2 linked regions of the Schizosaccharomyces pombe genome follow. Changing the gene in region 1 together with any one later gene gives a genetic interaction. Each region holds a gene or a part of one and is shown in the gene's direction. Other genes may lie near its edges.

The links. Genes that interact genetically often act in the same process or in processes that back each other up.
Region 2: of plg7 (region 1) and ptl2, a mutation in one rescues a mutant of the other (synthetic rescue), as found in Schizosaccharomyces pombe (one study listed by BioGRID).

What each region holds. Positions count from the first base shown.
Region 1 is NC_003423.3:398,503-403,009, reverse strand, and holds plg7 (1-alkyl-2-acetylglycerophosphocholine esterase), read left to right. Parts: upstream 1-2,016; 5' UTR 2,017-2,325; coding exon 2,326-3,642; 3' UTR 3,643-4,007; downstream 4,008-4,507. Other genes in the region: gid9 (ubiquitin ligase complex subunit), read right to left, coding at 1-24, 87-314; tho4 (THO complex subunit), read left to right, coding at 661-705, 747-815, 869-993, 1,100-1,166, 1,327-1,845; cAMP-dependent protein kinase catalytic subunit Pka1, read right to left, coding at 4,480-4,507.
Region 2 is NC_003424.3:3,027,502-3,032,500, reverse strand, and holds ptl2 (triacylglycerol lipase), read left to right. Parts: upstream 1-2,041; 5' UTR 2,042-2,177; coding exon 2,178-2,229; intron 2,230-2,312; coding exon 2,313-2,529; exon of another isoform or gene 2,530-2,595; coding exon 2,596-3,931; intron 3,932-3,980; coding exon 3,981-4,268; 3' UTR 4,269-4,495; downstream 4,496-4,999. Other genes in the region: ATPase histone chaperone Abo1, read right to left, coding at 4,511-4,999.

The sequences.
Region 1 (4,507 bases):
TTCACAATCATGCAAATGCTTCATCTACACAAAGAACCATGTAAGTTACAAATATCCAACTCAAAAAAAGAATCAATCAAACTTACCTTCTTCTTTACAGTACTGACTCTTGAAAGGAGAGAATCTATTTTTTCTATTTTTTCATCCATTGATGCATTCTCTTGACTGATCAACGTTGTCAATGTGGAATTGATCACATGCGATTCATGCTCCAAGTGCCGCAAAATGTGTTTGAAGTTAATGCGCAATTGCTCAAAAGAGAGAAGAATACCAGGCTTTTCAAGTATATATTGCTGCTCTGGACGAAAATTCATGTTTGAAGGCAAAGTCTAACAAACTATTGGTAGATGGACCCAAAAATTTAAATCAACTAAAGAATATTGAATATTTTAAGAATAAGAAAGTAATTAGAAGAATTTGTTTAAATGTAAGGAAAACAGCAATTGCAGAAAGACGATGGGTTGTTGGCGAAAGATACACTTTCTAGGACCGTAGTGCAAGATGAATGAAAAATAAGGAGAGCTAAAAAACAATAAAAAAAGAGGTGCATATATTAATTTATGTCAGGAAAATCTGCAATTGGTATGGAAATCTCCTTTTTGGAATGCCCCGGGTTAATTTTTACCAGTCGACATTTTCGTGCCAAGTACCAATTTTCAAATGTCGCTGGAAAAGTCCTTGGACGAAATTATAAATGAAAGAACGGTAAATTTTTTTATTTTCGATATTTGTTTTAACAATCCTAGAATGGTTTTGATCACAAGCACAGTCGGCGAAGGGGATCTCAAAATCGTATTTCCAAAAAATCGCGATTGGTATGCTAATTTCGAGGATTAAGTGTTTATTTACTAATTTTTTACTTTTTAAGACCTACAAATTCAAAAGAGCATCAAAAGAACACAACTCTAGTCCAGACGATGGCCCGTGGCAGCATGACTTGGATCAAGAGCAGGATGCTCATCCAAGGACCACTCACCTACAGAAAAGACAACAGTATGTTTTGAATTTATAAGATAAGCTGTAAACTTTTTTATTACTCTATTAGCTCTTAGTCTACATGCACTGTTATTATCATTATATACTAACACAGCAATCTTAGCTCAGAAAATCGATTTGGGGTTCGTGTGGAAAACTTACATTATCAGGTTTTGGAAAAAGATGTTTTGGTAAGTGATATATGTTTACTATGTTTTCAAAAGCCTCGCTTTTAGTTTTCGATTGAAGATTATGAAACGAACCTGACAAAAAATCTCCCTGTCAAGCTAAGTAGAGCTTTGTTCCGATTTCGAATCGCTTTTTTTATTAATAAACTAACCTTTTCTTAAGTCTTTGTTTGAAAATTTCCATCCAATTCGCGTGATTATGAACTATGATCGTGCAGGTCGCTCTGAAGGCTCCTGCGATGTTTACTTTGAAACTTCCCAAGATGCTGAAGATGCCCAGAAGACGCTTCAATCTACGAACTTGAAGGGCTCCGAAATTCAAATTTCGAAAAAGTCTCCACCTTCCTTATTCGATCGGATTTCCGACATGCCACATTCAGCCCGCAAACCAAGCCGGTCTTCTCGTTCGAACCGAGGATTCAACCGTTCTTCAAAAAAAGACGACAGATCATTTCGTTCTTCTTCAAAAAAGTCTTCTAATAATTCAATTTCACACGAAGATTTAGACAAAGAACTTGACGAATACGCAATGTCATTTCACGCTGCTTCAACTGTGTCATCTCACTCATCACAGGATTTCACACCGTCAATAGCCAATGCTCATGAGAAAAACGAGCCTGTTGCTCCTTCAAAAGATAGTAATTTGACCGAGGAGATGGACCTCCAAATGGAAGCGGTTTAAGCTCGAATTGCTGTGCAAGTAACCCTTTTCCTATGCCAAAAGTTGATTATTGAGTCAATTGCTTTGATTTGTACATTATAAAAACGAACCGGCTAAAAGGACATCTTTCATCATAACCCCTTACTTTATATATAGATGCTCGTCAATTTCCATCGTCTTCCTTCTTCTACCACAATCGTACGAATCGTACCAAAAATTAAAATTTGCAGCAGACAGATTCATATTACCTTGCAAGGCCAAAAATTTATTAATTTTATTTTTTTTATTTATGTTTATAAGTGCTTGTTAACGAAAGAGATATTTTGTTTTTGTTTCTGGCATTATTCCATTCTATTCCTACTACAGTGATCATAGCAATTAACAATACATCATCACTGTGCTCTTGTAATTTGATTGAATCGTTTTTGACACAATCTTTCATTCTTTAAAATAAAATAAATTTATATATTTCTACATTACATTCTTATTTGTTAGGTAGAAATGGGATTGGGATTTTCTTCGAAAAAGCAATTACCTGCCTACTGTGGTCCCTTGCCTGTGGGGTCTTTAGTCTTAGAGCTGAGTGTTCCAGAGGAATTTCGATGTGAATATAAAACCATTGAACACAAACTAAGAACCGTAAAAGTACGCATTTTTTATCCATTGGACCCAACAAAAGATGTAGAGCCTCGCACCGATGAGCTTTGGTTACCATTCCATGAGGGTATACCCGAAGTTGCGAAAGGTTTTCGTTGGTGGCTTCTTCGTGCGTTCGCTTCTGGTTTGACCAACTTAGCTTTGCCCGTCTACAAAGGAGAGTTGTTTCATCCACCGAACAATGGGAAACTGCCAGTATTTATCTTCAGCCATGGATTGGTTGGCTCGAGAAATGTGTATTCTTCGTTATGTGGTACAATCGCTTCCTATGGTATCGTCGTCTTGGCCATGGAGCATAGAGATAACTCGGCCATCATATCTACAGTGCGTGATCCATTACATCCTGAAGAACCCCCGTACGTTGTTCAGTATCGCGAGATAAGCGACTTTTATGCAGACGCTACGGTTGTGCTTCAGAATGAACGACTTTTATTTCGACAGCAGGAAATCCAAATAGCCCTCCAGATGATTCGAAATATCAATGACCTTGGAACTCCGGACGAAAACTTACCCTTTCTTTGCTCTGTGGACTCTTCTTTTTATAATTCTGTTTTCCAATCCATGAAGGGTAATTTGAATACCGCTCAAGGAGAATTGATTGTTGCTGGTCATTCTTTTGGTGCCGCTACTTGCGCATTCATTTCCGGTTCTTCTACCAAGTCCTTATATAATGACTATATGTTTCACACTGAGTTTAAGTGCTCCATTTTATACGATATATGGATGCTTCCCGTACGCCAGCTCCATTTGAGTACGATGAGGTATCCTACGCTCATGATTATATCTTACGAATTTCGTCGGTTTGTCGACAATTTTCAAGCTCTCGAAAGTTGGCTTGTAAACAAGGATTCAGAAAACCAAAACGCAGGCGAATCCGCTGATGAGAAAATGTCTGTCGTTCCTTTAAAAAAATATTCCCACGTGTTTGTTTATGATGGAACAGTACATGCTAACCAAAGCGATTTACCGATTTTGCTCCCTCGCATGGTACTAAGGGTATTGAAAGGAAAATTTGAAGCAGACCCTTATGAAGCTTTACGCATTAATACTCGTTCATCTGTACAATTCCTTCGTGAAAATCATGTTGAAAATGTTCAGGGAGATAATGATCCTTCGTCGTTGCAAACAAATATTATTCCTGGGTGGGAAAGAATTATGTAGTATTTACCACTTTTACAAAGAGCTAAAAACTCTTAAAAACAAAACTCTTTTGACTTTTCTTGTCTTTTTATCTATCGCCGATGCTAATTATAATATTTATTGACTGTCATGCTAATGAGTTAACTGTTTGGCACAAATTTCTTATAGCTTATAAAGAAGATTTTCGAAAGCTTACCTGTTAATGTGGATTGAATATGGTAACTATTACTTTTTGGGAGCCTGTGCTTAGGACCGCGATGATTAAGGACGAACATTTACGCTAAGTGTGTGATTTTGAAAAATTTAGACTAATATTTATAATTTGTAATATGTCTTATATACTGATAGATTCTTTTATCATTTTACATTATTATTTATTCAACAAAATAATTTACCAACCAATTACGAATGAAACCACCATTAATTATAGATACAAGGAAATTCAATGATTATTAGCGGATATATGTATCTAGTTGTTGCACAGTTTCAACAAACAATGCTCTTTTGTCTGTTCAACATGAAGAAGAAATGACTTGGGGTTTAACATAACCATAAAAAAACAGAATATATAAATAAAATGGAGTGGAAATACATCAGAGCAGGCTAATTGCCTGGAAAAACATCAAAATAAATAGCTTCAACTGAGATCATCATATCCCATCCAAACATAAAGTCGGTCCATTACACCAGCACAAAAAACTGAAGCCAATATTGGTGAATTGCAAAATCAGTGCTACAAACGTCACTTGCATTGCACTAAATCAAATAGGCATTCGTTGCTCAACGCTTTAAGGCAATAGTACAATGAATCAATAAGCATTCGAGTATCTTAAAACAAAACAAACGTGGCACAAAACATCAAAAGTCCTTAAAGATAGAAGTAAAT
Region 2 (4,999 bases), on another chromosome or scaffold:
TGGAAGAACCGACGTCCAACTGTCTACTAACTACTGATTCCAACAGATCCACGCCCACTACACTGTTCTACTCTACACACTTTGCGTGCTTGTCTGCTGTTACGATACCATCTACCAGCACATCCTTCCCTCGCCCCCTTTCTCAGCTACGGAACATCCCTCTACAACAAAGGACCCTTGAAATAGGACAACAACATCACCCAAAAAAGAAGGAAAAGAAAAAGAAAAAAAGATTCAAAAGAAAAAAATTACATTCCTAAAACTGATGGTGTGACACTATGGTTTTATATTATGACACATGCAATTTCAGTCGAGAAAGTTAGTCGAATCGTAAAAAAGTCAGTCGAGTAAATTTAAACGAGTAAATCAATTGAATATTGTGATTTTTTTTTTCGTCTATGTTTTTACAAAATAAAGGAAATTAAAAAAATTAAAATAAAAATGAAAATGAAAAATAAATTAAATAGTAAAAGCAAAAATACCGCGAGACCCTTACAAACTTGATGGAGGTCATTTTAGACGGTTTCGGTTGCTGCAGGCAATTCATTCACTTAACAAGTAAAATCTCCTTTCTTTCTCCGAAGGTGCTGCGAAGCCTTCCACTGCTGCTAAACACCTGATGAAATTCGGCAGTAAATGTAGACACTTCGTTATCCCAGCTTTTTTTAAAAAAAATTAATAAATGGTAGCCTTGCAGAATCCGGTTTAACGAGGCGATTTTGGCATGCATTATAATTGCTTTTCACACATGTTTTCCCATATCGTTTTCTTTCTCCAAGGCAAAATAGAGCGATGGATAGAATACATGCTATACATACGATATAGTCTATAGTCCATTTTGCATCTACAGATCCCTAGCGCACTACTCTGTTTTGTACAACCAAAAGTCCATCTTGCATCCATACAATCTTATTTACCACTTTTAATTTTTCATCCTTCTTTACCATTTTTTATTTCCATCCTTCTCTACCGCTTCTAATCCCTCTCCCATCCTTCTACTTTCGTTACCGTTTTGATGCGCTAACGATAAATAATACAACATTAGATTTTCTTTAACCTTCTTTCCATTCTCCTCAACACTTTAAATGGCCCACTTTAATAATTTTGCTTGCCCGGTTTTCCTGCTATTCCATTTGCTTGCCGTTACAATGTATCCGCATGTTTGCTCCTACTATCGCCGCATTGCGTTCCATTCCATTTTGCTATCGCAATTGCTCTGAAATCGGCTGCGTGCTAATTTTTGGACGCAAAGCTGCGATCATGGAATCTAGCTTCAAACTCTGGTATAAACCTTTTTTTAAACGCTTAAAAAACAACCAAAGTTAGTGCGCTCTCAAGCTTAAAGTTACGGATTTCCCCAAATCCGATATCTATTTACCGAGCGCAATAGTTTGTAAATTTAAAAAAAATAAATAATAAATAATAAATAAATAAAAAATTACACAAACCTTGAATTTGATCCAAACAACCTTTGCATCCTTTGTCGATCAAATTCCCATTCCTTCATTTCTTTTAAAAAAAAATTTTTTTTTCTAGAGCCGTTCCTTTCTCAATTCATTTTCGGGCATATTTATTTTGCTTCCTCTCTTCCTTCCTTTCTTTGTTTACACAAAAAACCATGATATTCCAATTGATCTTGCATGCTCATTTCTCACTACACCCTAATAATCCCTTTCCTTCATTCACTCTATCCTAAATTAAAAATTGCCCTTGCATCTTTTTTGTTTATCCAAAATTATTTAAAATTAGTGCATCAAAATCTTTTCTCGCAATTGCATTCCATCACATTACGTTTTATTTTGCTAATTTTTTTTCGACATCGCTCACTCCAATACTCAATATTTATTTACCATATTTTACGCATTACATCCTTAATGTTTTAATGTCATTGAGTTTATTCTGTTATCTGCTAATACCGATTTTACTACCTTTCTCCCTGTTTTCCATAAAACATATTCCCAACAGTGTCTTTAAATGACGTAGGGTCATTTCCTAGTAATTCATTATGTTCAGCACCTAGTCTCACGGTACCCTTTCTTCTACATTATACCGTTCTTCTTCAATTGATTCATGCTTTGATCTTTTGTTAATACCCAGTATTTATTTTTAATGATCTTATTTGAATTATAAAATTTTCTTTTCGTTTGCTTCATGTTTTGTTTTTTTCCTATCCAAAAATGTCTATCCCAGAGGAATCTGAAATAAATAAGGATTACACTGTTCAAGAAGGTAGGATGATTTGCTGTTAATTTTTATTACATAGTAATTTTACAAAACCAATTATTAACATTTTTCCTTTTTAAAATTTATAGATCTTGACGAATTCGCAAAATATACTTGTGTTTATAAAAAACGCCATGATGAAAAAATTGAGTACATCACTGCTCAACATGATTGGAATCCAGTCTATGAGGCCGTAGTCCCTCGCAAGTCAAAACCGGGTAAAGATGAAAAACGAGAGGGCTTTATGTATCCCATTCTACGTTGGCCCTTGATGTTTACTGCTTTCCTATGTCTAACCTTTGTCGCGTATGTTTATCTGTTACCCTTTACTTTATTTATCCATTTGTATTTGCTAACATCATCAACTTGCAGCTTTCTTTATCTTTTGGACCGTTTGTATATTAACTGTTATGAGTACTTTATTGTTTGGAGAGGCGAAGCTCGCAGACTTCGTAAACTCTTGCAAGAAGCAAAAACTTATGAAGAATGGAAGGAAAGAGCCAGAGCTTTGGACAAATATTTTGGTAATGACGAGTGGAAATTGGACCCTGTTTACGATTATTATGACTACACGCTCGTACAAGCTGTTTACAGCAGTTTGGTAAAACATCGAGAACAGAAAGATTGGAATGCCCTCAAATCTGTACTTGATGTTTGTGTGAGAAGTAATTTTGGTGGAATCGACAGCTCAATGCTATATTCGCGAACCTATAGCGGTACCAAAAAATTGGTGGAAGACTATGTTAATGAATTAAAGGTTTGTCTAGAAACCGTTATAGATCAACGTTTATATACGGCACAGGAAAGATCAAAGATGTTTGAATACTTTTCCCATAATTATGGAAGAACGGCCCTTTGCCTATCAGGTGGTGCTTCCTTTGCCATTTATCACACGGGAGTGTTGAGAGCTCTTCTCAACCAGGATTTGATTCCCAATGTCATTACTGGAACTAGTGGTGGCGGTCTTCTTGCAGCACTAGTTTGCACCCGCACCAACGAAGAGTTAAAGCAGCTTTTAGTTCCTGAACTTGCTTCCAAGTATCAATCAGATATCGGCAATTGGCTAGATGCTACGAAGCGGTACTTCAGGACGGGAGCTAGATTTGACGAAATTTTATGGGCAAAAACTTGCATGTATTTTACTCGTGGAAGCTTGACTTTTGCTGAAGCTTATAAAAGAACTGGTCGTATTCTGAATATCTCAGTTATTCCTAGTGATGTCCACTCTCCTCCTAAATTGATCAACTACCTCACATCCCCTGACACTGTAATTTGGAGTGCTGTTATTGCTAGTTGTGCCGTCCCTGGTATTTTAAATCCTATTCCCTTGATGACTCGAAGTCAGTCGCACAGGCTTATCCCTCACAATTTTGGAAACCGCTTCAAGGATGGAAGTCTTCGTACGGATATTCCTTTAAGTGAGTTACGTACTCAATTCAATGTCCATTTCTCCATCGTCAGTCAAACGAATCCTCATGTTCAAGTGTTCTTCTTTTCGCCTAGAGGTACAGTAGGTCGTCCAGTATCACACCGTAAGGGCCGTGGGTGGAGAGGCGGATACGTTGGAAGTGCCATCGAACAGTTTTTGAAGTATGATATGATTAAGTGGCTACATGTTATCCGTAGTTTAGAATTACTTCCAAGACCCCTTGGTACGGATTGGAGTAGTGTTTTTTTGCAAAAGTTTGATGGCACTATTACAATATGGGTAAGATTATATATAGCAAATGAAAATTTACAACAAGCTAACATTTTAGCCTAAAACAAAATTTCAGGACTTTTATTATATTCTCTCTCCTCCCAGTGTTGAACGACTTGGTTATATGATAGATGCGGGACAGGCTGCAACTTTTCCTAAATTAGATTTTATTGCTGCGAGAATGACTATTGAAAAGCTGATTGAAAAAGGTCGCATGATGGATAAGCCTAGTAAATTGGGTAGATCTATTGATGGTACTATCGGTACATCCATGAGTCGTGGTGACATTGAAATAAGCCAAGAGTCGGCTAGCATTTCTCCGGAAGATATTGACATTGTAAATTAAAATTTACTTGTTTAGCGCCTTTAAATAGTAAACTTTATACCTATTTTAACAAAGTGACATAGAAGTGTGCAGGTGACAAAATTATACTCAATTGAAAGAGATATATCATTATTAAAAATTACTTTGTTTGTTTGTGCTTATGTACATATAATTAATGTATTAAAAAAATTTCAGCTTAAGCGAATACTTTCGTCATTCTGTATCAAAAATATGTAGCAATTCTCGACCATTATTCATTATGTCTATTGTAGTGCATTAATCATAAACTCTTTTACTGCTCGCTCGCATTCATCAACCACAGAGTTTCTATTCCATTCGGACTTCGTATTCCAAATGATCTGGTACAAAAATGAATGAAGATGTAAAAGCTGGTCAACGGTGAAGCCTGTTGTTGAATCAATAAGCAACTGCTTCAATGGAGTAAGTCTGTCCTCATCAAACACCAAATCAGGGAATACCACCTCTTGTTCGATATTCTCAATATGACCATCAGCGGATGTAATATTATGGGCATCAGTAGGAGCATTATTAGGAACATCAGCAGGAGACGTGATGAGGGTGTCAACAGGGATATCAGCACGGCCATTAGAAGAGATATTCGTAGAGACATCAGTAGAAACACGTAATGCGGCTTCTGATGGAACGCCTACTGGACTCTTCCCATTTAACAATGGAGATTGTACTTTGTCTTTTTGATCAATATATTCGTCAGGCTTGGGAGACTCTTCATT